2 linked regions of the Rhinolophus ferrumequinum genome follow. The protein of the gene in region 1 interacts with the protein of each later gene in a biochemical or structural test. Links are inferred from orthologs where the notes say so. Each region holds a gene or a part of one and is shown on either strand. Other genes may lie near its edges. The genes, in order: AREG and S100A4.

Evidence for each region.
Region 2: the proteins of AREG (region 1) and S100A4 form a complex in vitro, tested with the Homo sapiens proteins (2 studies listed by IntAct, with this or other methods). The link is inferred for Rhinolophus ferrumequinum from reciprocal best matches to the Homo sapiens genes AREG and S100A4.

What each region holds. Positions count from the first base shown.
Region 1 is NC_046288.1:31,187,519-31,199,857, forward strand, and holds the start of AREG (amphiregulin), read left to right. Parts: upstream 1-6,991; 5' UTR 6,992-7,199; coding exon 7,200-7,260; intron 7,261-8,397; coding exon 8,398-8,646; intron 8,647-11,286; coding exon 11,287-11,488; intron 11,489-12,226; coding exon 12,227-12,339.
Region 2 is NC_046305.1:52,503,848-52,515,258, reverse strand, and holds S100A4 (protein S100-A4), read left to right. Parts: upstream 1-7,052; 5' UTR 7,053-7,209; intron 7,210-8,034; 5' UTR 8,035-8,049; coding exon 8,050-8,190; intron 8,191-8,899; coding exon 8,900-9,064; 3' UTR 9,065-9,196; downstream 9,197-11,411. Other genes in the region: S100A3 (protein S100-A3), read left to right, coding at 4,842-4,982, 5,422-5,586. UniProt on the Homo sapiens protein: Calcium-binding protein that plays a role in various cellular processes including motility, angiogenesis, cell differentiation, apoptosis, and autophagy.

The sequences.
Region 1 (12,339 bases):
CTTAAACGACATAGAAGTTTTTGTCTCTCATGTAAAAGAAGTGTGAAGGTAAAGAGTAAAGGGTTGGTGTGGCAGCTCTTCAAGCTCTTCATGTCTTTCTCTTCTGCCACTCTAGCACATACCCTCCAGATTCAGGGTTGGGTCCAGTATGATTCCTGGAGAGGCAACCAAGTGACCATATTTCAGGCAACCGGAAAGGAGTAAAGGGAGAAGCACGATAAACGTGCGGCTCCTACTTTCATCAGCTCCCTTCAAGAAGCCTTTTAAGAAATTCTACACATAAACTCTGCTTAAGTTCACCGGACCTCACTAGCAGAACTTAGTCACATGGCCACCATTATCTTTGAGGATACCCGGGAAACATTATGTTTTAGTTGGGCATATTGCCAGTGTGAATAATATCAGGGCTCTGTTACCAAGGAAAGATATAAGAATGGATATTGAGAAGAGTCTATGCCAAATTATTGATAAGGTAGTTAGTATTGAAAAAATAGCTCTTCCGTTTACTTCAGGGTCAACTGGGTTAGTTTATGGTGCAAAAGAAATTTCCCTCACAATGTATTCACAGTAGAAATGACCTGATTCTGCAGGAAATTATGGTGTGTTGAAATCACATGGTAGGAAAATATCAAACAGCTGGAAAAAAAAAAAATAAGGACCGGAAACTTCTATGTAGAGTTTCGATGTTTAAAAGCAAGTAATGCTCTGGAAAGGTCATGTCTGTGGAGTCAGCAGTGCAAGCAGTTTGAAACCAGACCTTAATAACAGGGCTCACTCTTTTGGCCTTCATCATTCTAAAAAACCTTTGAATTCCTGCAGGCTTATCTGTCACAGTAAGCAGAGGTTCTAAAATTAAGAAATCAGTTATAACACAATTTTCTTATTTATTTCTGTCCACAAATACACATTAGAAAAAATTTTATTGGAATCCATAGTACTTTTTTCATTGGTCTCAATATTATTGTTGTTATTATTAATAATAATAACAACAACACATTAGATATTTTGAGTGATTATGAAAGGTCAGATTCTGCTCCAAGTGTTTTACATGCATTATCACTTTTAAACCTGACAAATACTTTATGACTCTGGTACTCTTATCATCATCTCCTTTTTTAGAGGTGAGAAACCTCTAAAACCCACAAAGCACTTAATAATTTACCCCAGTTGGGAAGGGGAAGAGCTGCACTAAAACCCAGTCATCTCACCCTCAGAAGCTACAACCTTAATCACCTCACTCTACTCCTCACTACCTTACACGGCAAAGGACAACACGGGTGCTGGGAGCAACTAACTACACAAGGGTATGAAGGGGTGGGAAAAAGCAGAGGACCCACACGATCATTTTCTCTCACAATTGCATCCTCATTGGAGAAACTGATGTGACTGATTATAGAAATTGTGTCAAATCAGTTTGCTTGAGAAATCAGCCTCATGATTGGACTGGGGTTTTTAACTTAAAAAAATGAGAAGTAATACATAATCTTTGTACACATATTAGGACGTACAGATAAGCAACTGATTTCTCAGCCAAAGATAAACATTGTTAACATTTTTTATATATCCTTTCAGAATGTTTCTATGCACACATATTTATCTATATACACAGAGGGGCCGGAAAAAGTATACACATTTTAAGAAAGGAAAAAACTGTATTAAAATTATGATGACGGTAACCACTTTGAGCACCTCTTGTAATCGCAGAAGTCAAATGTGACTTGTATTCATCTTTTGTTATCAGTATATATTGAGTATTACAATTTTAATACAGTTTTTTTTCCTTAAAACGTGTATAAATTTTTTTTGGCACCCTCTGCATTTTCAATTCCTTTTTTTCTATGAGTTCTACATGTGTCTGTATTTTTCCATATAACTTCCAAATACTTTTTCTTTTTTTTACTCTGGCCATGTAATTTCAGTGCACACATTCAGAAAGATTTGGGGAATATGAAATACAAAGGCCAGTTTCTTTGTGGTTCAACCTATCTCTGCCTATGACCTACTGTACAGGAGTGGTCTATTAAAAAAATTAGTAATTTATTCACCTATGATATTTAAAAACTGCTGATCTAATTGAACTCGGAAACAAAAGCCAGTTGTGTTCATAAGTAAATACAACAAACTATATGTAACTTAGCTTAGCTTAGCTAAAAATTTATGACTATTTAAAGAGACTACCTAAACTCATAACCGAAGCACATTAAATTATGGTTAATTAATAATAGATTCATTTAATTCTCAGAGATATGCCTGTGTTGTATATTTTTAAGTAAGAAAAAGGCAAATAGAAGAGTTCAGAGACTATGAAAAGTTATCATCACACAATATTGAATGTGCGATAACTGAAGTGATAAACTACAAAATTAAATACAAGAATATAGGAAAAGCAGAAATGGAAAGATTAAGTTTTTTGGAAATAATAAAAGATCAAGGATATAATTTTTTAATGACTATAATTGGTAATCTGTAAAAATCTTTCATAGAACTCTGACCACTTCAACCATCTGACTTTAATATATTACTTTTCTGAAATAATAACATGCCAAATCTTATTCTGAAATCCTAATTTTAATGAAGAATTAATAGCATACTAAAATTTGACATGCTTCTTAATTCCCCGTCTGATGGTTACAGACACTGTTCTCTGGTCTAACATTCAGACTGGAGTTAGGGAAGATCCATAATAATTTAATGTAGATCTGATTCTATTTAAGTGACAAACTGATTCCTGAAGAACTAAGTGAAAAGTGGATTTTCTCTTTTCCATATATTCAGACATATTTTTATTACACGAAAGTAGCTCCCTACTTAAAGGAATAGTATCTGAATCAGTTTGTAACATGAGTTTCTTAGAGGTAAAATAAATGTCTTCATCACATTAACTTACATGTTTCCTGTTGAAATTTATTTCTCCATCTTTCACATTTCTAACGAAACTTCCATCTACATGAATGTGCAGGCCCAGAGGTAAGCAAACTCTCCGAAACTACTTTGACTTTTTTCGCCTAGGTATCTCCGAGTGGAGTTGTTCTTAATCAGAGGTGCACATCAGAATTTCCTTGAAAGTTCTTAAAAAAAATACACAGACCCAGGTCCCACACCAAGCCTACTGAATCAAGCAAGGAGAACAGAGTGTACATTTTGAAAAAGTTCTCAGGTGATTCTGATGTGCTGACCTTTGCTCAGCTGAAGAGAGCTCTTGGGGTATTTGAGAAAAGATTAGTGAAATGAATTCTTGTAGAACCCCCCAAATCCTCCACATTTTTGAGGCCCAATTCAAGGCCGCTGTCTGTTCAGCATCCCTCATTCTTCCTGTCCATGTCTATCTCTGTTCTTCCACAGTTATTATTATTTAGTAGGATAATCTTCTCCATTTTATTCTGCTATCTGTTTATTCTGTGAATTACTTAAGTGTAGGTCCTATCTTGTTATTTCTTTTTATCATCTTTCTCTACCATTCCAAGTTCTCTATATCACATATTTTCTTTCTTGGCACTTCTTACTACTGAAAATTCCTTTATGTATTGTTTCTTGCTTATTATGTTTTTCCCCTTAATAAGAACATAAGGTCCTTAAAAACAAGGATATTATGACTTTTTGAAAGTTCTCTCCCCACTACCTAGAAGAGTATCTAGTTCTCCAAATATACTTCATGAGTAGATGAACTATCAAGTGGATTCATTTTTTTTAGTTTGTGCAAATGTAGTTAATGGTATATTACATTTACTTACTTTCCATTATATCAAATCATCCACTGCCTTCAGCTCCATCTGCTAGGCTTTGCTCCATCATGTCAAGGCTGTAAAGGGCAAGTAATTGTATTTTACCTTTGTCAAGGTACCCAACAATCAAGTTCATGTAAAGAGAACTCTTTTTGAAGGAACTAGAAATCATATATTCTTCACAAGTAAATTCCAAAGTGAAAAGTAGAAAATTATAGATATTTAAATGGAGCTAAAGCATTTATTAATAATATAGGAAATGTTACTTATCCATTTGAAAATTCCTTAATTTTAGTTTGGGGTTTCGTGTATTGACTCATAAAAATGACCATGATGTAATACTTACTCAGACCCTGGGACTATCCATAAAAACTCAAGATCAATTACATGAACAAAATATAATTATACTTTTGGTTCTAAGGAACACCTTTTATCAGAGTCAAAGTGAGTTTGTTTGCATAATACATATCAGATATTATCAGGATCCAGATAGTAGGCACCAAAACGAGTGGTTGGCTAGAGCATTTGCCCTTAGGGCTTCCCTTAACCTCATACAAGGTGAGAGAACCACCAATTTATTAGGATAAAAAAGAGTTCCTTCTCTACTTGAATTTCTTGAAATTGTTCCTCTTTGTCTCAGCTTAACATGCATAATGTAAAGAATCTCACACTTACATGAGGTTGGTTTTCTTCTCATGCATATATTACAGAATGCCATGAGTCATAAAAAGGTAATGCCATTGTGATCCAATTATGATGATGCCCCATGTTACCCTATGAGGCACCATAAAATAGTCAAAATGGTTAGTCTCAATGTGAAGCAAGGACAGAGTTCATAGCTTGAAAATATCGAAGGAAATTCTTTTACTTGCTCTGTGAGTAGCTCCACTTATGTTACTTAATTCTTTAATGTGATTGATATAATGTAACTATCATAATGTCATGGTTAGTGATAATAGTGCCATTTCTTGAGCACTCACTATATGCAGGGATCTGTGCTACCTGTTTATGAATCTTCTCTCATTTGATCTGCTTAGCAGCAGGCAGGTATCTTTATTTCTATTTTCAGATGAGGAATCTTAGTCTTTCAAATATTAAGTAACTTAGTATGTGGTGGAATTTGTATATGAAAATCCAATTGGTTTGAATCTAAAGCTCATACTAAGCACTAACCATTGTGCCCCTAAGATGCTATGTTATATTTCATACCAATATAAATTATTACACTCTAAATTTCCAATTGGAAAAAGACAAAACAATTTCCAATGTAAAGAGCCCACTTTTATTTTAAAGAAAATAAAATATTTTCAATGACAGACATGTACAAATTGGAATCATCTCAATATGAAGAGAGAGAAAAAAAAAGGTAATAGAGGACTAGAACAAAATGGTAATCTATGAGAGTAGAAAGGTGCAAAAGTATAGGCTGATAGCCTGAACTCTAAACAAAATTTCCACCGTCTTTTGAAATCTCCTGACAACGTTCTGAATCTCTGAATCACAATCGCCTCATCCACCAAAAAAGATGACAATGCAGGCGTCTGCTTCACCCTTGCATGGGCAGTGTCATCTTTCCAGTCTTACTTTCTTCATTCTTGGTCACACCTTGTCATCAGGTATTCTTGCCATTTACATTTTCTGCTGGGAAAAATCAGTGAGTGTCCTCTCATCTTTCCACAAAGCTTTCCATGATATGAATGGGCAAAATAGAACTGCATCCTTGTTTTCTATGGCATTCTGAATCCTCATCATCTGATACAACAGAATTACTTTTCTGTGTAGTTTACCCACACTACATGGAACTCCTGCACAGCAGGGAGGTGGTCATCATTTAATCTCCGTCTTTACTGCCCCCATCCCACATTAAAAAAAAAACACAGTGGATTACACAAAATATGCTCTCAACAAATGTTGAACAGGAGAGAAGGCATGAGTCATGACTGCGTATTTCATCCTACTAAATTCAATGTATGATATTATTTAGCCTACTCACTATGATATGCCATTAAAAAGTAAGTAGCTTAAAAAAAGTTTCCCAGAATTAGGACATAATGCACTGGGACCCACATTGCTAGAAAAGCTGCTTTACTGGAAAAAATCAAGGAAGAGATACGTATCATTAGGACAAGTCAACTCTTAGAACAATGCTTTTGCCTCTTTGCTCTTCTTCAAGTCAAGAACAATCCAACTCTGGTGGTATTTCTACATCAAGGTTAGTCAAATTCTGCAGTTCCCTCCTCTTCATTTTATCTACTTGTCATGATTAAATGCCCGACTAGGTTCAAAATGGGCCTTTAAAGCTGGCCCTTTATCTCCAGTTTTGAAAGGAACAATCTTGGGCACCACCCTTCATCCAAGTGCCAATATGCTACCAGCAGAAATTATTCCTTTATGCTAAGTGTTGTTCTCAGAAACTCTCTTTTCAAAGATCAATTTAGTCTAACTTCTTTATAAGAGTAGAAAGAGATTTTAGAGTCAGATTAACTTGAATTAAATCCATCTGGCTTCTGCCATGACCAGTTGTGTAAAATTCTCCTTGCTTTGTTAAAGCTGCCATGTGTCCTTGTAAAACAGGTTAAGATGATACCCAGCAAGGATACTGAGTGAGATGGTGTGATATTTTAAGTGTATAGTTTGGCAATAATAAATATTAATTTTGATGAGAACCCTGGGCCACCTAAAAAAAAAAAATGGGAAGGGAGATGGTTTGAAATTCTGGCCATTTCACAGTAGCGGGTGGGAAAGAGCCCTTGGTGGAGACACAGGCCCATCATAAATAAAGCCGCTCCTCGTGCGGAGGTGCGCTCTCTCTGGTCATTTAATGAATTTCATGTATCCTTGTTAAAGACATTGGGCTATCATTAAATTACTCTTGGTTTTAAAGTACGTTTGCATCTTAAAAGGGAACTTCTCTAGTTAATCTTTGTTATGATATTAAAATCAACCAAAGTATATACGGAGGTTTTTTACGGACTTTGAAAAATTGGGACTTTGTCAGATTCTTAGGTCCTAAACACCACTCACTACCACCCTCGATTAGGATCTGGCATATTTTAGGCTCGCAGCTTGGGGTTTAATTTCCATTTCCTCCCAGTGGCTCTCTGCGCTAGAAGGAGGCGTGGTGCCTGCCATCCGTGTGTGGTTTTGGGGTAGTAACCTCTTCTGGGGCGGCGGCCGCCTCCACCCACAGAGGCGGCTGTGACGTCACGGGCAATACCTCGGTCCCCGCCCGCCCTATAAAGCGGCAGGTGAGCACCGCGCCTCCGGAATGTTCGCACGCCTTGTGCCTGCGCCCGAGTCGGAGCCCGGCGATCCCGAGGCGAGCTCCCGCTGCGCTGAGCGCCCGATCCCGGCGCGCCGTCGAGCGCAGCCGCTCACCGCCCCTCGTCCCCCTGGTCTGCCACCACCTCCTTCTCCAGCCCACAGCGCCAGTCTCCGTTGCCCCAGAGACCGCGACGCCGCCGCGCCGAGGGACCAATGAGAGCCCTGCTGCTGCCGCCTGCGCCGGTGGTGCTGTCGCTCGTGATCCTCGGCTCAGGTGAGGACATCCCCGCTCTGAGCTGCCGGGCGCTTCTCCCACCGCGGGCAAAAGCGGTCGCCTCTTGAATGTTGCTGCTTTAAAAAAAAAAAAAAAAAAAAAAAAAAAAAAAAAAGAGTCGCCCTTCGGTGTTCCCAACTCTGTCCCACGGGAGGTGTTCACGGTGGCCCCCTTCCTAGGGTTATTGCTTGGGAGAAAGGAAAGCGAGCACATGTCCCAGACGTTCCGGGCCAGAAAGAGAGTCCCGGAGAACCCCTGTACTTTTACTTTAGTCCAACTGAAGGGGACTTTAAAGATCCTGTGATCCAAACCTTCGCTTTACATACAGGAACCGAAGTCCAGAGAGGTGAAGTGATTTCTGCAGATCTCAGTGGTTAAGTCCTTTTCCCAGGAGTGCTGCCTCCTGCCTAAATTCTCCATCTCCTCTGTCTACTGATTTTGTTTTTATCTTCGTAGAAGGCCTGGTGTCCTCCCAGGGAAAAGTTAAAAGCACTAGTCTGACTCTGTTTTATTGAGACCTAAAGGATTATAAAGCAGGGGCTTGAAATTCTGGGTCCCAAATCTTAACTATTTCCCAGGGTGTTTTTCCCCTCTGTGTAAGAAGAATAGTGAAACAATGACAATAATAATCATTATTATCAATTACCATTTATATTAATGTTTACATTTTGTGTATATAGTCTTTTATAAATGTGAGCACGTGTTAAGAAAATCTGGTATTTATCCATTACATCTAGAACCTGCCTATGGTTCTAGATATAATGAGACAGGTGGCATTCTAGCAAACACAGATGCATTTGGTATGTGAAGTGATGGGAATATTTAGACAATACCTGTTAAGTAATTATGTATATTAGGTTAATTTGCCTATTTGGCAGTATTTTTTTTGATATGGAAATTAATGTAGACTGTCTACGGAAAAGAAAACCTTGATGAAAGAAGCTCTGTAATTGGAACAGCTGAGTTTACTTGTTGGCAAAACGTAAAGTTGCTTTCATAAGTGACTCAATCACAAACAATAGCACATGTGCAATAACTACTTTGATATCAGAAGATAAACATTTCTCCTGAAGGGCAGCTGACTGGTGAGAAAAGCACTCTACTATACCTTTTCTTCCTTTGTTCTTTCTCCCATAGCCAGTTATGCTTCTGGCTTGGACGTCAATGACACCCACTCTGCGAGAGGGGAGCCATTTTCTGGGGACCACAGTGCTGATGGATTTGAGGCTACCTCAAGAAGTGAAATATCCTCAGAAAGCGAAATTTCCCCTGTGAGTGAGATTCCGTCTGGTAGAGAACTGTCCTCAGGGATCGACTATGACTATGCAGAAGAGTATGATAATGAACCACAAATATCAGTCTATATCGTAGATGATTCAGTCAGAGGTGAGTAGCGAGTAAGTGAAAATGTAGCCTATCTGATGTGTTTATCTGACCAAAGCTGTTTCAAAAGAAAAGCCACTCCCAGCATGTTCTAGTGGCTTTCTGGTGTGTGTATCTGTAGTACACTCTGCTAGGTGAGCTAGAAACTGAGATGGAAAGAGCTATATGTGGACACATCCTATGTGTCTGCATGGTTTATGTCTATTAGGTCAAATGTTCACAACAACTTTATCAAGTACGAATTATCATTTTACAGATGTGATAACTGAGGCTTGAGAAGATTAAGTGTTCTGCCCAAGGTTCCACAGCTAGCAAGCAGATAAGCCAGAATGAGAACCCCTATCTGTCTGATTCCAGATACTATGCCCTTTCCCACTGTACCACGTGACCTCCGTTCTGAGAGACAGATATAGACACCAACCAGTCCTATCTACTCTGTATCTCAACTTCTTTATTCGGTCCCCATCACCACTCTTCCCTAAATAACTGCATTCTAACACAAATATGGGAATGAAAGGAAGGAATGGGACAAGAGCAACTGGACTTTAGCGTTAAGTAGTAGGTATTGAGAAACTGGTAATAATAATAATAATAACAATAATAATAATAATACTCTCTGGAAATATTAAAGGACAGATATGCATGGATTTTGCTAAATTTTCAATTTAACCCCAAATCCCAGTTGTCATTTCAATAATAGTGACCCATAGTTTTCTTTTCTTGTGATGTTATCTGATCTTTAAAAGGGAGAATCTGTTTAAAATAAGGGTACCAAAGTAAGAGGTAAGTATTGCTCAGTACCTTCATATTACTTTGGAGTTTGAGGACAGATGAGGTCATCACTAAATCAGATCTAAATATCCTAGGAGCATCCACTATGGAAGCAGGACATAAGGCCCCTTCTCTCCTGACCTTAGTTTCCCTGACTCCTCCACCTCTGTCTGGCTCCCAGAACTGTTAAAGGCAGAACTGATGACACCATAGAGATAGTGACTGGTTGGAAAATTCCAGTGAATGCTCCACTTGACTCCCTTGCTTTGGAACTTACACTTTTACGTACGGTAGGAAGAGGGTGCATTATAATGTTTACTTTTGGAGGAATGATATTAGACCATCCAGATTCTTAAAATTGTTCTCTTAAAAATGTTTCAAGCTGTTAAAAATTCAAAAGGCCAAATAAATTGTTAGTGGTGAAAATGGGTAGTGCTTTAAATTGCAATGCATTGTGAGATAAGAGTGAAAATGTTGGTTGAACTCCCTTGAAAGGCTGTAGAACCCATGGAGTTAATGTCTATTGCAGCACTTCAGCATAGTGACTATTTGCCTCTGTCTAAAATTTGTAACATGTTTGATAAAGTGCAGTCGTAGCCATTTAAGATGTTTCTACAAGTAGACTTTTTCTAACTCATGGCAGTTTTTTATCACCAGAGGAAAGTTTCAATATAAAAATTGCATATCTTCCTATTAAACATTGCCCCTAATTTGACTATTGTTAATGTTGTCATAATAACCAGCTAAAATATTCATAATATTTATTTGCAGTTTCCATAATCACAGGGTTGTATCTTGACTATCCTTCCCTATGTTTCTAATGTTTTCTATTTAATGGGTGCTGCAGGACCATTATGACTAATGGAATAAATGACATTATCATATTTGCTTCTTTTCACTGAGCTGTTTGCTAAATACTTGTTCAGATAAACCTATTCAGGGATTAGTAGAACAAAATGCACAGCTCTAGCATGGCAACTCCTCCTTCCTATATTTAACATGTGGGTAAACTCTATCCTGCATAACTGTAACACTGAACAAATGTTTCTGTGGATCTGAAGAGTTAAGATGAATCTCTGAAAAATCAAGTACAACTATATCTGTCTCCTATTTTTCCAAATAGATTGATCACAGAAATGTATTCCCTGAAAGGTATCGATTATAATCTGCTATAATATGGGAGTTGGAGAAAGTTGATTAACTCTAATGTAGATATCTGTTTTTTTCCACCCCCAGGTAATACACACTAATTCCCAATTATCATAATCGGCACTAGACCGATATAAGTAAATAAAATCCACAAATATACCCACGTCCCACTTTAATCAATGGCATTGACCTTTTCCATGAGAAAACACCGTGTGGTGAAGAAATAACAGGCTTTAACATCCCAACACTGCCATTTTCTAGTTGTGTATCCTAGGGCAATTTACTTGTCTTCACTCAACTTCAGTGTTCTTATCTGTATCATCTGGGTTACAACACATTCAACTGTGATTTGGGTTAAATTGAATAAATGCTCATTACCAAGAACTTGGTATAAATTAAAAATTCAACAAATGTATAAAATATTTCATGGATTTTTCTTAGATAGGTAACTCAAATAATCAATAATAACAACAACAATACTAATACTGATAGAAATAAATTCAGAATATGTTTCTAAGGTAATAACAAAGGATTCAGATTTTTAAGTGCCACACAATACAGATACTCTCTTTGCCCAATTATTGTAGATGACTTGTGTTAAATAATGAAACAAATATGGACATATGAGCTCTCACTGCTGGGAATTCATTCCCTCTTCTCCAAAATGATATTTAAGATCAAGAGAGATTGTTGTCAATAAATACATGTATTTTTAAATTTTAGTTGAACAGGTAGTTAAACCCAAGAAGAACAAAACAGAAACTGAACAAACTTCTGATAAACCCAAAAGAAAGAAAAAAAGAGGCAGAAATGGAAAAAATAGGAGAAACAAAAAGAAGAAAAATCCGTGTGACGCAGAGTTTAAAAATTTCTGCATTAATGGAGAATGCAAATACATAGAGCACCTGGAAACAGTAACATGCAAGTAAGTTTTCCTAAATTATATAGAATTCTGTATTTCTAACACCATGTCTGAAATTCCTAGCTGTAGAAAATCATTTATTTTTCTAATGTAAAAAACAAAGTTCTGCAAACCTTTTTCCTTAAGGGACAGAAAGTAAATATTTTAGGATTTTTGGGTCAAGATTATGTATGTACTAATATGACCAATTAAAATGTAAACATTTAAAAACGTAAAAACCATTCTAGGCTTGCCCACTGTCAGAAAAAATAAAAAGAGCCTGGCAAGTGGCCAGATTTGACACAAGGGCTGTAGTTTGCTGGCTCCTGGTATAAACCATCATTTTACAACACATATTTTATAAAACCTCTAGTTAAAAAAGGACCTAAAGATACTTTTCACATAATGTTGTTCTATCCTCTTTACCCCCAAAAGCTGCTAGTACATGAAATGATAGTGGAATGTATTATTATATTAGCTGCATAACAAGTCACTGAACTCATCAGTTGGTCATAAAAGGAGCTCAAGAATGAAAAGGTGTGTCTTCCTGGAGTATCACACCCAAACTAATCTCAATTTGTTCTTATGCAAATAGGTCTTTGGCTCAAATGCGTTCTATGTCTCATGTTTTTGAAATGCAAATCTATGGAATGACATTTTTTTTTTTAATGTTAGAATTAAATGGTTATGACTTGGAAAGTAAGCCTAAAACATACAGAGTGTTTTCAGTTATTTTGATTTTGGAATGTGTGTTGTTTACAGATGTCCTCAGGATTACTTTGGTGAACGGTGTGGGGAAAAGTCCATGAAGACTCACAGCATGGTTGACAGTGATTTATCAAAAATTGCGTTAGCAGTCATAGCTGCCTTTGTCA
Region 2 (11,411 bases), on another chromosome or scaffold:
GACGCAGAGCACTTTGACATCCGAGCCTCAGGTAGGAATCTTCCCAATCCATTTAGGAGGGCAAGAAATTTAAGGCCCAAACAAGACAAAGGACGTGCTCGAAGTCAGGTGGCAAGAGGGACGTGGAACTAGGGGGGAGGGTCCGAGGAAGGGTTCTTTCCATGACGGTCCCCAAAGCGCCTGTACCCAGACCTCCCTCTCTGCCTGCCCCCTCCTGCCCCCTTCGCCTGGCTCTGCCCTGACCACGTATATAAAGATCCCTGGGCCCACCACCATTTTCCTTCCCTCATCCCTGCTTTAGTGTTCTCCCTGGCATTTCAACCCGTCTATTTACAGTCTATCACACACGTATTTGTTATTGTCTGTTTGCTTCGTTAGATTGTCATTTCCACGGAGCAGGGACTTTGTTTAGTTTACGGCTGCCCCCTCAATGCTGTGGACAGTTGTCTCTAAATGTTTCTATAAAGAACGAATGGCCCTTCGCCCTGCCACTGACGAGTCACGTGACCTTGGGCAAGGTACCCACCTCTCAGTTTACATTGATGCCCTTATCATGTGCCAGGCTCTCCTTATTTATGAGCTTTGTATGGATTAGCTCATTTAAGCCCCACCGCCATGCTGTGAAGTGGTTTCCATTATTGCCCTCGATGATTGACAGGTGAGGAAAATGAGGGCCAGAGCTGGGGGATGACTGGCTTCCGGGAGGTGGCTGGTGGTGGAGCGGGGATATCACAGACGAGAATAAATGCTTGACCTGGAACCGAGTTAATTGCGGGGCCACTCTGGCCCTCACTTCCGTGCCCAACTCCCCCTAATTCCTTGCCTATAAAACAGGGCTAATCACAGCCTGCCCTTCCCTCCCAGTTGCTTGCTCTCCTCACCCAGAGGGGCTGGGTCTTCAAGGAGAAAGTGGCACAGGCGAGGTCTGGGCACTGGGGGCCTGGGGTGACCTCAAGGTGTTATTGCTCTGGCTGCGTCTACGAGGAGCTCACCGCCTCCGGCCCTTCCCACACTCTTCTGGGTCCTGGCTTCTCTCTCTGTGAAATGAGGAGGGGTCTCTCAGGTTCAGGGGTGAGGGAGGGAATGGAGAAGTGACATGAAGTGAGGGGAGGAAAAAACTTTGCTCTCCCCGCCTCGCTTCTCCCCGCTGGTCTAATAATTAAAGCAACACGAGACAGATTAACAAGAGAAAAATAATCGAGTTTAATTACATACGTATGTGTGGGAATCCCAGCGACACGAGAGGTTCAGAGGCAGAAAGTTAAACTGAGGCACATATGACGTTCTGAGCGGAGGATGAGGTAAGGTGCCTTGGGGGCGTTAGAGGTAGGGAGGGTCATAGGCGCGACGATAAAAAGAGCAGGTGTTCAGTAATTAGATGTTTACACTGCCACATAGAAGAACTTTCTGGCGATAACTCATTATAACTCATTTACGTTGCTTAAGGGAGGGGTAAACGTTTCTCGTGGGCCCACAGGGTCTCGGTTGCTTTCAGCTCAAAATAATTCACCAGCCCAAGTGACACATCTTGGGGAGGCCTGTTCTGAACCTCTTCAGAAGGGATTTCCATTTTTGGTAATACGGTGGTCTGTGCCTGCTCCAGCTAAAAACAACAACAAGAAATGCGGGATAGAATTTGAAAAAAAAAAAAAAATCTTTTTCAAAGTATTGAATGCTGACAAGGCAGGAAGGAGTGGGAAGATCAAGCTCTCAGTAAAGCAGACTCCGGGAGGCGAGGAGTGCACCAGGGCTAATAGCGCCTGGAAGACATTGGCCAAACCGAGCCAAAATGACCTTTGGCTTTGACGGTTTGTGGAGTGAAGAACACAGAGCCGAAGCCCAGGGCTCACTCGAGGTGGGCAACAAGGGGGACACTCCCCATCATACTGGGACCCTAAAGGGCTACTTGCTTCAGTTCAAAGCTGAGGAAACCCACCCCACCCCATGGGATCACAAGGAACAGTGGGGCTGAGCTCTAGTCCCAGGCAGCCCATGCAGGAGTCTGCAGCCCACCTCCACGCACAGCACTGTGGGAGGGGGTCGGGGGGGAGTGTAGCCAGAGAACTCAGCCTAGACGGACGCAAACGCCCCTAGGAGCAAAACACACCTTCCTCCTGTGCCTCAAAGTCATCCGTGGGCATTCGGAAGGATCCCCAGCACGTGCCATCCCTGGCAGGACATCATTTTGAGCTGAAGACAATGGAGGCCCCAAAGCCTAAGAAAGTACTTTTACCTCCCCTTTAACTGTCTGAAATAATTTAGGTAAAGGGCCTGGTCCAGGAAGAGCTCTATCCCCAGAGAGATCTACAAAGAATGGGGGTAGGTGTGTTGAAGGGGGGCTCAGCTGTGATTGGAGCCAGAGTCCTCTCTGAGTCCCTCCCTGACCCTTCCACATTTGCTTTTCCATCTCCATGTGAATTGTCTTCCTCCTTTTTGAAGTCCCAGATCCCTAGCCCCTTCTCCTTAGTTCAGAAGAGCACATAAGCCCCTGTCACCTGACTGCCTGTGGGCCCCGTATTCTTATGGAGCACCCCCCACGTAGGGAATGAAATGTGTTACTCTGTTAATGTGTCGTATGTCAATTTGAGTATGAGACCAGCCCAAGACCCTGGAAGGGTAGAAGGAGACTCTTTCTTCCCCAGCACATCCCGCAGCTGCCCTTCCCAGGGAGGCGAGCAGTTGGCAGCCCACAGCTACCAAACACACATCTGGGGATCAGGCAGGTGTGTCCCATGGCCTCCGTCTTCTCACCTGTAAATGAAGGGCTTAACCAGATGCTCCAAGAGGGGAACCCCTGGCGCAGGGGTTCTCTGGGGGCATAGATGTACGCCAGGCTAGAGTGTGTTCCCACATTGTATTACGGGGTGTCTGTTCAGAGTGAGGAGATAGGGAATGGATCTGATGGACTAGCCCAGCCTGTCTCCTCCAGCGACAGAAGGGGACAGGCAGGAGGCTGTCCCCAGTTCCCAGCTCTAGGGGAGGGCGGAGGGGGAATGAAGGGGTGCAGTGTCTGATGCCCAGACTGGGTCTTTGATGTGTGCGTGGATAGGTGGGCGGCCGGGCCTGTAATAGGGACTGCCAGGGAAGGAGGCAGGGAAGCCCCCGGGGGCACCCTCAGCTTGACCTACTTGGGCCCCCCATAATTGCCCTCTTCCTTCCCTGGGAGACTACAAATAGGGCTGCCCTGTCTCTAGGCTCCTACAGCTGAACCGCCAACCACCAGGGGTGAGTGCCAACTGCTTGGGTCCTGCTCTGGACTGGGGGTCGGGCAGTTCAGGGAGGGTCCCCTGGTCCCGGGTGTGGGCACGGGGGCAGAGGGATGACCAAAGCTGGGATTGATGGGGTGAGGGAAGTCACAGCTTCTCTTGTACGGTGAGGGGCTGTCGGGAAGGTTGGGTTAGGGGCGTGCAGGGCTGAGGTCTGGCCCTGGGGAGGGGCCAATGGGCTAAAAGCACTGGTGAGACCCTCAGTGAACCCCCTGCAACTCCCCTTGCCTCCGTCCTTCTTTCTTCCAACGGGTTGAGACAGGCCAGGCTGCATGGGGAACAACAGATTCCCTCGGGTTTCTAGGCACCTAGCTTCTGGAAAAGCAGCAGTGGTGGCGCCAGGCAGGCTGGCAGGAGCCCAGAGGGGCAGCTGAGCACCCGTGAGGCTTAGTCCCTGGGATCAGGGCCCTTTCCTGTCCTGGGAAGGTGGACAGCCTGCTCCAATCCTGGGCCGGCACAAAGAGTCAGACCCCGGGGGGTGCTTGGTCCCATCACCCCCGCCTCCCCCTTTCCATAGCCACAACCGTGCTGGCCATTTGCTGTACAGGGCCCAGCAGAGGGGGACTCATTAGAGGGAGAGGCTTGGCCCTGGCTGCCTTGTTACAAGACTCCTGTCCCCTGGGGGAACCGAGTGAGTCACCGGGCTCACATGAAAACAACACTTGTCTTCCTGGCTGCCTTCGGGTTTCACCAGGCTGGAGGCTCTTCCCAGAAGGCGATGCAAGGGTCCAGTGGAATGGGGTGGAGTGGGGTGAGGGGGGCAGTGCCATGAAGGGCTTCCCCTCTAACAGAACAGGGTACCCTAATGCTGAGCCTCCTGTCTCAAGACCCCCAGGGGTCCGGAGGGTGGGCTCAGCTGGGGCAGATCACAGATTGGTAAATGCCTGAGCTTGCTCCCCGACTAGGCCTGTGAGGTGGGACTGACCCCACTTTACAGATAACGCACCTGAGACCCAGGTCGGAGTAAATGGCTCACCTGGGACTGCACACCTAGTGAGAGGCAGGGGGCATTTCCTTTGGATGATGAGTCCCTGAGTTCGGGGGAGGAGGGATGGTGAAGGGTGGTGAGGTGGTGGGAGCTCCTCTCAGACCCGACCCTCCCTGACAATGCCCGGCTCCTCCAAGGGCCTGAGAACAGGGAGAGCGGGCAAGGGTTGAACGAGTTCCTACAGAAGGAGATCTGGGGTCCTGAGAGGAAGGAGCCTTCCAGGGTCGGGAGCTGCTTGTCATGGCGTGGTGCAGAGTGGGACTGAGTCCTTCCTGGGTGCTGGGGATGAGAAAAGGTGGAGAGAATCAGGGAATCCTCTGTGGGGGGGTCGGGGGAGGGCACTCTCCCTGAGGGGTTTGCAGTGATGTTGGGGAAATGAGACCTCTGTCCAGGAAAATAACAATGGGGGCACAGCACAGAAATAGATTAGCAGGTGCTGGTGTGGTCAGGGAGGGCTGCTCAGAGGAGGCGGGCTTGTGTGGAAATGAAGACAGGTCTGGGACAGGCCCGGAACATGGAGGGCAGAGGTACAGGGCGGTGACCGGGGCCTCTGCTATGGGCCACATCTTTGTTCTGTGACAGTGAGAATGGCCAGGCCTCTGGAGCAGGCGGTGGCTGCCATCGTTTGCACCTTCCGGGAATATGCGGGGCGCTGCGGGGACAAGCATAAGCTGTGCCAGGCGGAGCTCAAGGAGCTGGTGCAGAAGGAGCTGCCCACCTGGACCCCGGTGAGCCCCTGGGGTGCCCAGCCTCTGGGGAATACCGCTTGGACTCTGCACAGAGAGGCCTGGGACACGCTCTGAGCAGAGGACAGCAGGAAGTGGGGGAGGCCAGACCGTGGGGCGAGGACACCAGGCAGGAAAGTGACAGGGCAGGAATCGTTTCCTCATCACACGTGCCGCTTTGCAGGGCTGCTGGAGGATGCAGTGAGAGTACAGTAAAGAAACACACAGGAGGCCCTCAGCAGCCATAGTGGGTTGCTCCACAAATAATCTGGGAAGGAGAATGGGGGGGGGCGGGGGTCGGCACGGTGAGTTATCAGAGCAGGTCGGCCAGGTTGGGCCCAGAAGGGCTGTGGGTTGGGATGGGTGGGATCGCCCAGGAGTAGGGGGAGGGAAGCAGCGTGTGTGAGGCATCCTGCCCCCCGTGGCCCCCTCCCCCACACAGACGGAGTTCCGGGAGTGTGACTACAGTAAATTCATGAGTGTTCTGGACGCCAACAAGGACGGCGAGGTGGATTTCGTGGAGTACGTGCGCTCACTGGCCTGCCTCTGCACCTACTGCCATGACTACTTCAAGGACTGCTCCCCGGAGCCCCCCTGCCCCCAGTAGCCTCTGCCGCAGGGTCTGCCCGGGACCTGCTCCAGCTCTGCCCTGTGGGGTCCTGGGCATGGCACCCATACCCCCTGCCCTCTCTTCTGCATCCTTCTCATGTGGAATCTCCCAGGTCTGCCCCTGATATCCTAACCCCTGTTGCCTGGGGCAGGGACCTGTGAAGGGACCTGTCCCCAGGATCACAGCTAGTGACATGCAGAGCGGCCACCCGCTGCCTCCCGGCTGTGGTGTGTGATGGGAGAGGCAGGGGCGCTTTGAGACTGCCCAGGCCCCCCAGAGCATGTGCACGAAGGAGGCCCTGGTGGGAAAGGGCCTGCTGAACTCCCAATAAAGACCTGGTGTCACTCGGTGTGCTTTGGTTCTTCTTACAGGCCAGCCGGGGGGCAGTCCTGCGGAGGTCATGGCTCCTCTCTGGACTTTTCCACTGGAGGATGTCACGGGTCCAGCAGGAGGGGTGGGATCCACACAGACCGTGTTGGGCTCTCTCTGTCTCTCTCTCTGTGTCTCTCTCTTTGGGAGCCAGAGGGCAGCCGGAGCTTCCCTGGGGATGGAACTCAGTCCTCATGACAGGATGATCTGAACGGAGGGTGGGGCCCTGGGTCTGGGGCGGGGTTGTTCCCTGCCCCGGGCTGTGGGCGCCCAGAGTGGCACTAATAGGATTAGGGCGCCTGAGGTCTGATTAGGGTGCTGTCCCACACCGGGGAGGGGTGCCTGGCCTTGGAGCGGGAAGAGGAGCCCTTGAGGCAGACTCCACGCCCGAAACCACCCCCGCCTGAGGAGCTTAACCCCCACTTCTGACCTGCTCTCAATCCCTGAGTTTATACCCCACCCAAGGGGTGAATCCCCCATTTTGGGCCGTTTCACCCCTCACTTCCCACCCTGTTCGTCATTCCTGACGCCCAGCACAACTCTAAACTCCCGTTCCTGACCTCTGCCCCTCCCCGCCTGCTCTTAGTACCTTCACACCGTCCCTGAGGCCCACACCTGCCTCCCACTTCCCACTCCACCTCTGTCTCATCACTGGCAAGCTTGGTCCCAGGGCCTCCTTTGGGGGATACCTGCTTCTCCCAGCCCCCCAGCTCCTGCCCTGGGCCTCACTCAACATGGCAGAGAACACTTTGGGGAAGGGAGAAAGGCAGTGTCAGCTGTGCCAAGCGCTGAGCTTGGGGTCCCCTCCCTCAGGGCAATTTCCCACCTGTCACCCACCACCCCTGGACCCCCTTTCCTAGCTGCTGGGTGGGACCACTTGCTCCCTGTCTTCTATGCTCCAGGCACAGACTGTCCCTTCCTCCAGTTCCCTAAAACTCAGGCTGAGCTGTGTACACTGGGGGGAGGAGGGGTGGGGCTGAGGCCCCTGCCTGCGCCCACTGGGGCTCGCCCATTGTCTGTGGCTGCCAGGGGCAGGGAGCTGCATTTCTAGGCTGGGCTGGTGGGCGGGGGGCGGGGAGGGGGGCCTGGCATGCATCACACAGGCCGGGCAGAGGGTTGTCTCCCGTTCTCCCCCATCCTCTGCCATGGGCAGGGCCTGCCCAGGGTATAAATAGGTCCAACCGCTGGGCTCTCCCCATTCTTCCTGTCTCCCCAACCCTCTCTTCTCAGCGTTTCCTCTCTCTCGACCTGGTGAGTTGTGGTCGCATGACTGGCACGCATCGGGTGTCAGGCTGAGGCTGGGACAGGAGAAGGGGAGGCTGGTGGGGGCCAGATGTGCTAAGTGGGTCCAGATGTGCGGTTCCGATGTGGAAGCTCTGGGGTGGGATGCATGTGTGCGCGCCCGTGCATGAGCAAGGGAGAACGGAAACAAAAAGAAAGACGCGTGCGGTTGGCTGGATTCAAGCTCTCTATAGTATGTTGTGTGGCTGTAGTGTTGTCCTGGTGCATGTTTGACTCGTGGGTGCGCACATTGGCTTGTGTTTGCTGGGCTGCACAAGCCTGTGTGTGCACACTCGGGTGTGGGAAGCAAAGTGAAGTCAGAAGGCAACCGTGGGCTTTTGTCTGGCAGTGTCCCATCAGCCTCTGGCCAGCTCCAGCAGCCCAGCCCAAACTTGGCCTCCCCGGCCCTCGCCTGCATCCCTGCCTCTGCCACCTCACCCTGCCCTCCCTACGCTAGACCCCGGGTTTTTTCCATGCTGGGCAGGCCTCCAGCAGCCTCGCCCAGCATTGGGGGGGGGGGGGGGGGCGGGGAGAATGGGCTGGGCGGGCTGCTGTGGGCTGAGCTGTGGGACCAAAAGGACTGAGTGCGCCCTGGGAGCTTGCATGCTGAAATCCAGGGCCTGCATGCCTGAAATCCAGGAAGTGTTTGCTGCCTGAAGCATGCATTTCCCATGGTGCACGCCCTCCCCACCAGGAGCTGAGACCCACCTTTCCCAGCTCCCCCTGTGGCATGGGAGTGGGTGGGGCATAGCTGGGGTGGGGTGGGGAAGATAAGGATGCCTCTGTGACCCCCAGATCCTGACAACCACCATGGCACAACCTCTGGAGAAAGCCCTGGACGTGATGGTGTCCACCTTCCACAAATACTCAGGCAAGGAGGGTGACAAGTTCAAGCTCAACAAGTCGGAGCTAAAGGACCTGTTGACCCGGGAGATGCCCAGCTTCTTGGGGGTGAGTGGCTACTGCCTGGAAGTATGTCCCCCAGTGGTGTGTCCCCGTCAGAGGCTGGACAGGGCCCTGGGAGGCACCAGTCTTTCTGCAGGGCAGTCATTGCCGCGGGCATCTGTCACGGAGGCGGGTGGAGACGTGGTGAGCACCTGTCACTCATTTCCTGGCGCCCAGCAGAAAAGGGGGCTGAGAACGAACAAGCTGTTAGGGACCAGGCAGTCGGCCAGGGGCTTGGCACGACCGACCAGAAGGGCAACTCACGCTCTGAGGGGCTAAGGAACTTCCCAAGGTAGTCAGCGTGCAAAGCTGAGGTCCACGAACCAGGGCGGTCCACCTCTTGCCATCACTGCAGCAAAGAACCATTTTTTGAGTTTCTATTTGGTTTTTACCTGTGAAGAAGGCACAGTTACGGAGACACTCACACGCCTATTTCCCCTGAGCAATCCTAGCTCCATCTGTATCAAACTTTATGCAACTTAGACATATATTGCTTTCATGACGATTGTCCCCCCGGGGGAGAGATGTGGTCCCCTTTTCCAGTTGCATCCAGGTACTCTCCCTCCCTAGCTTGGCCCTGAAGACTGGAGTTCCAAAGCTGGGCCCCCCAGGAGTGGCTGCACCTGCCTGAGCTCCGTCTGCAGGAAGAAGCCTGCTCTAGTTTTGGCTCTGTCCCCAGACTCCCGGTTTCTACCTGTAACCTCTCCCCCTGCAGAAACGGACGGATGAGGCCGCTTTCCAGAAGCTCATGAGCAACCTGGACAGTAACAGGGACAACGAGGTCGACTTCCAGGAGTACTGTGTCTTCCTGTCCTGCATCGCCATGATGTGCAATGAGTTCTTCGAGGGCTTCCCTGATAAGCAACCCCGGAAGAAATGAGGGCTCCCCAGATGCGAGTGGGGGGCCTGCCAGCTGGGGTCCACCCTGGGGGTAGTGGGCACAGAACCTCACTCGGGCTTCTTCAGACATGTGTACGATGCTGAGCAAGTCAATAAAGATTCTTAGAAGCTACGAGGCTGATGGTCTGAGACTCTGTGGGGGTGTGGGGTGGAAGCTGAGGGATTTGGGGGGGTGCGGGACTCTGGGTGTAGGCTGCAGTTTTGTGGAGACTAGTGAAGGTGGGGGAGGGATGTGGGCTGACTGTGTGTGTGTGTGTGTGTGTGTGTGTGTGTGTGTGTGACAGCATTGACTCTGAAGAGACCGGGGGCAGGAAGGGGGCCCCCAGAGGCTTGGACCGCCCGAGCTGTGGGACCTTATCCAAAGCACCCGCCCCTCCCACCTCCCTCACCTCGCCTCTGGCAGGACCTCTAACTGAGGCTCGGTGGGATTGAAGATCACATCTGCTCCTGGTTGGGGTTTGGAAAGGAGTTTGGGTGCCCTGGGGGTGAGGTGGGGAAAAGGGCTGAGTCACGGGGAGCAGCGAGGCCCGTGTGGAATGTGGAGAAGGGCTCAGTCCCGCCGTCCACAGCCCAGGCCCTGCCCTGCCACCGCCCTCCAGCGCCTTGGCTCCCAACCCCAGGGGGATGTCCCCACAGATCAGGGAGGCGCTGTGGGGGTGGCCAGGCCATTGCAGCAGCCTGAGAATGTGTCCTTCTCCAACCCCCGGGTCTGCCCCAAAGGCCCTGCGGTGAGTGACATCTGTTCTTAATTATTAATCATGTTCTTTCAGAGAAGGACAAAGGACCTTGGAAGGGATGAGTGGAGGACAGTGGCTGGGGTGGGAGAGAGGGAGATGGTGGGAGGCGACTGTAATTTTGGAGACAAAACTCCAGACACAGAAATAAAGTTGAGATTCCCCACCCTCAAGAAAATACCAGGCACGGGATTGCTTCTCCTTAGGTTAAAAGCCAGTAGCCCAGTGTGCAGTGGGGACCGCTGAGGGTAGGTTTCCAGGCCATGCCTGGGTGGGATGGGGACCTTTGGGAAGAGCTGAGTAGAGAGGGCAGGTCCAGAGGCAGGAGGGTTGGGTCCCCGTGACCGTTGGAGCTTTGCCCTTTTCTTCTCATCACATGTGTTGTTCTCTCAAGTTTCAGAAGAGTTGGGTAGGTGACTCAGATACTCCGTCAGAGTGTGACTACAGAGACTTGGGTGGAATTTTAGTCCAGGAAAAAGTGTTCCTCCTCCCTCTTCTCTTTCCTCATCCATGGGCGTGCGCTCGCCTGAGCCTCCTGCATCACTCTCTACCTGGGAACTCCTGTTGCTAGGCGACCAGTCCTGGCTGCCTCTCTAGTGCAGTGCGGAGGATCCAGGCAGACTAGGGTGGGGCCGCAGCAGCCGTAGGTCCTAGACCCCTCACTCGGTCCTGTTCTTAGACTTGGGCTGCTTGGTGGTAGAACACTGTCTGAGTCTCTCCTGGGTCCCAGGCAGCTATCCCTGACCCCTACCCGGTTCCTTATTGCGTTGGAACCCGCTCTCCCCAGTCCACAAGCTCTACCCCATCCCTAGGCCCTCTCCTTCCCTAACCCCCGCCCCAATCCCTGTCTCTCAGCCCTCCATTCCAACGGTCTCTGACGATTCTTTCCCAGGAAGATGATTGAGGTTTAGGAGAAACCATTTGAAAGCCCTTTAAAACCCTCAGGCTCCCGACCAGCTAATGACCTTGACCTTGACCATGCCCTTGGCAGGAAACATCGTCCCCCACTCATTCCCCCACTGGATTCGTCCCCAGTCCTGTCCCAGGAGGCTCTGACCTGGGTCTCCTCGTGTCCCTGGCCTCTTCTCATTGGCCCTGCCCCTGCCCTGGTTTCCCAGAGACTGGAGAGAGGGAATAAAGGCAGAGAGCAGTGGGAGTGAGCCTACTTCTGCTGCCTGGGTTCCCTGGCTTATTTCTTCCTCGGTGAGTCCTTCTGTCTAAGCTCCCTACCTGTCTATATGGTGGGGCAAGCTGGGATGAGGCCAGGGTGTGAAAAGCCGTGGTGACCTCCACCAAGGAAGACCCAGCTCGATGAGTGGGGCACGTGCTCAGGGAGGAGGGCAGGGAATTTGGAACTGTGGCTATCAGCCTTTCCTGAGAAGGGGTTTTGGGGGAAAGGTGGGAATCAGAACCAGCCAAGACGCTGTTGCAGACGCCCCTGCGTCTACTGCGGTCTTGGCTGAGTCTCCTGGAGGTGGGGAGAAGCTGAGTTTTTTGGGAGGTGGGAGGTGAATGACAGGTCTGGTTCAAGAACTGGCTTCTTCCTGCTTGCTCTGGACTCTGTACAGATTTACCTGCAGCCCTCAAGTTCCC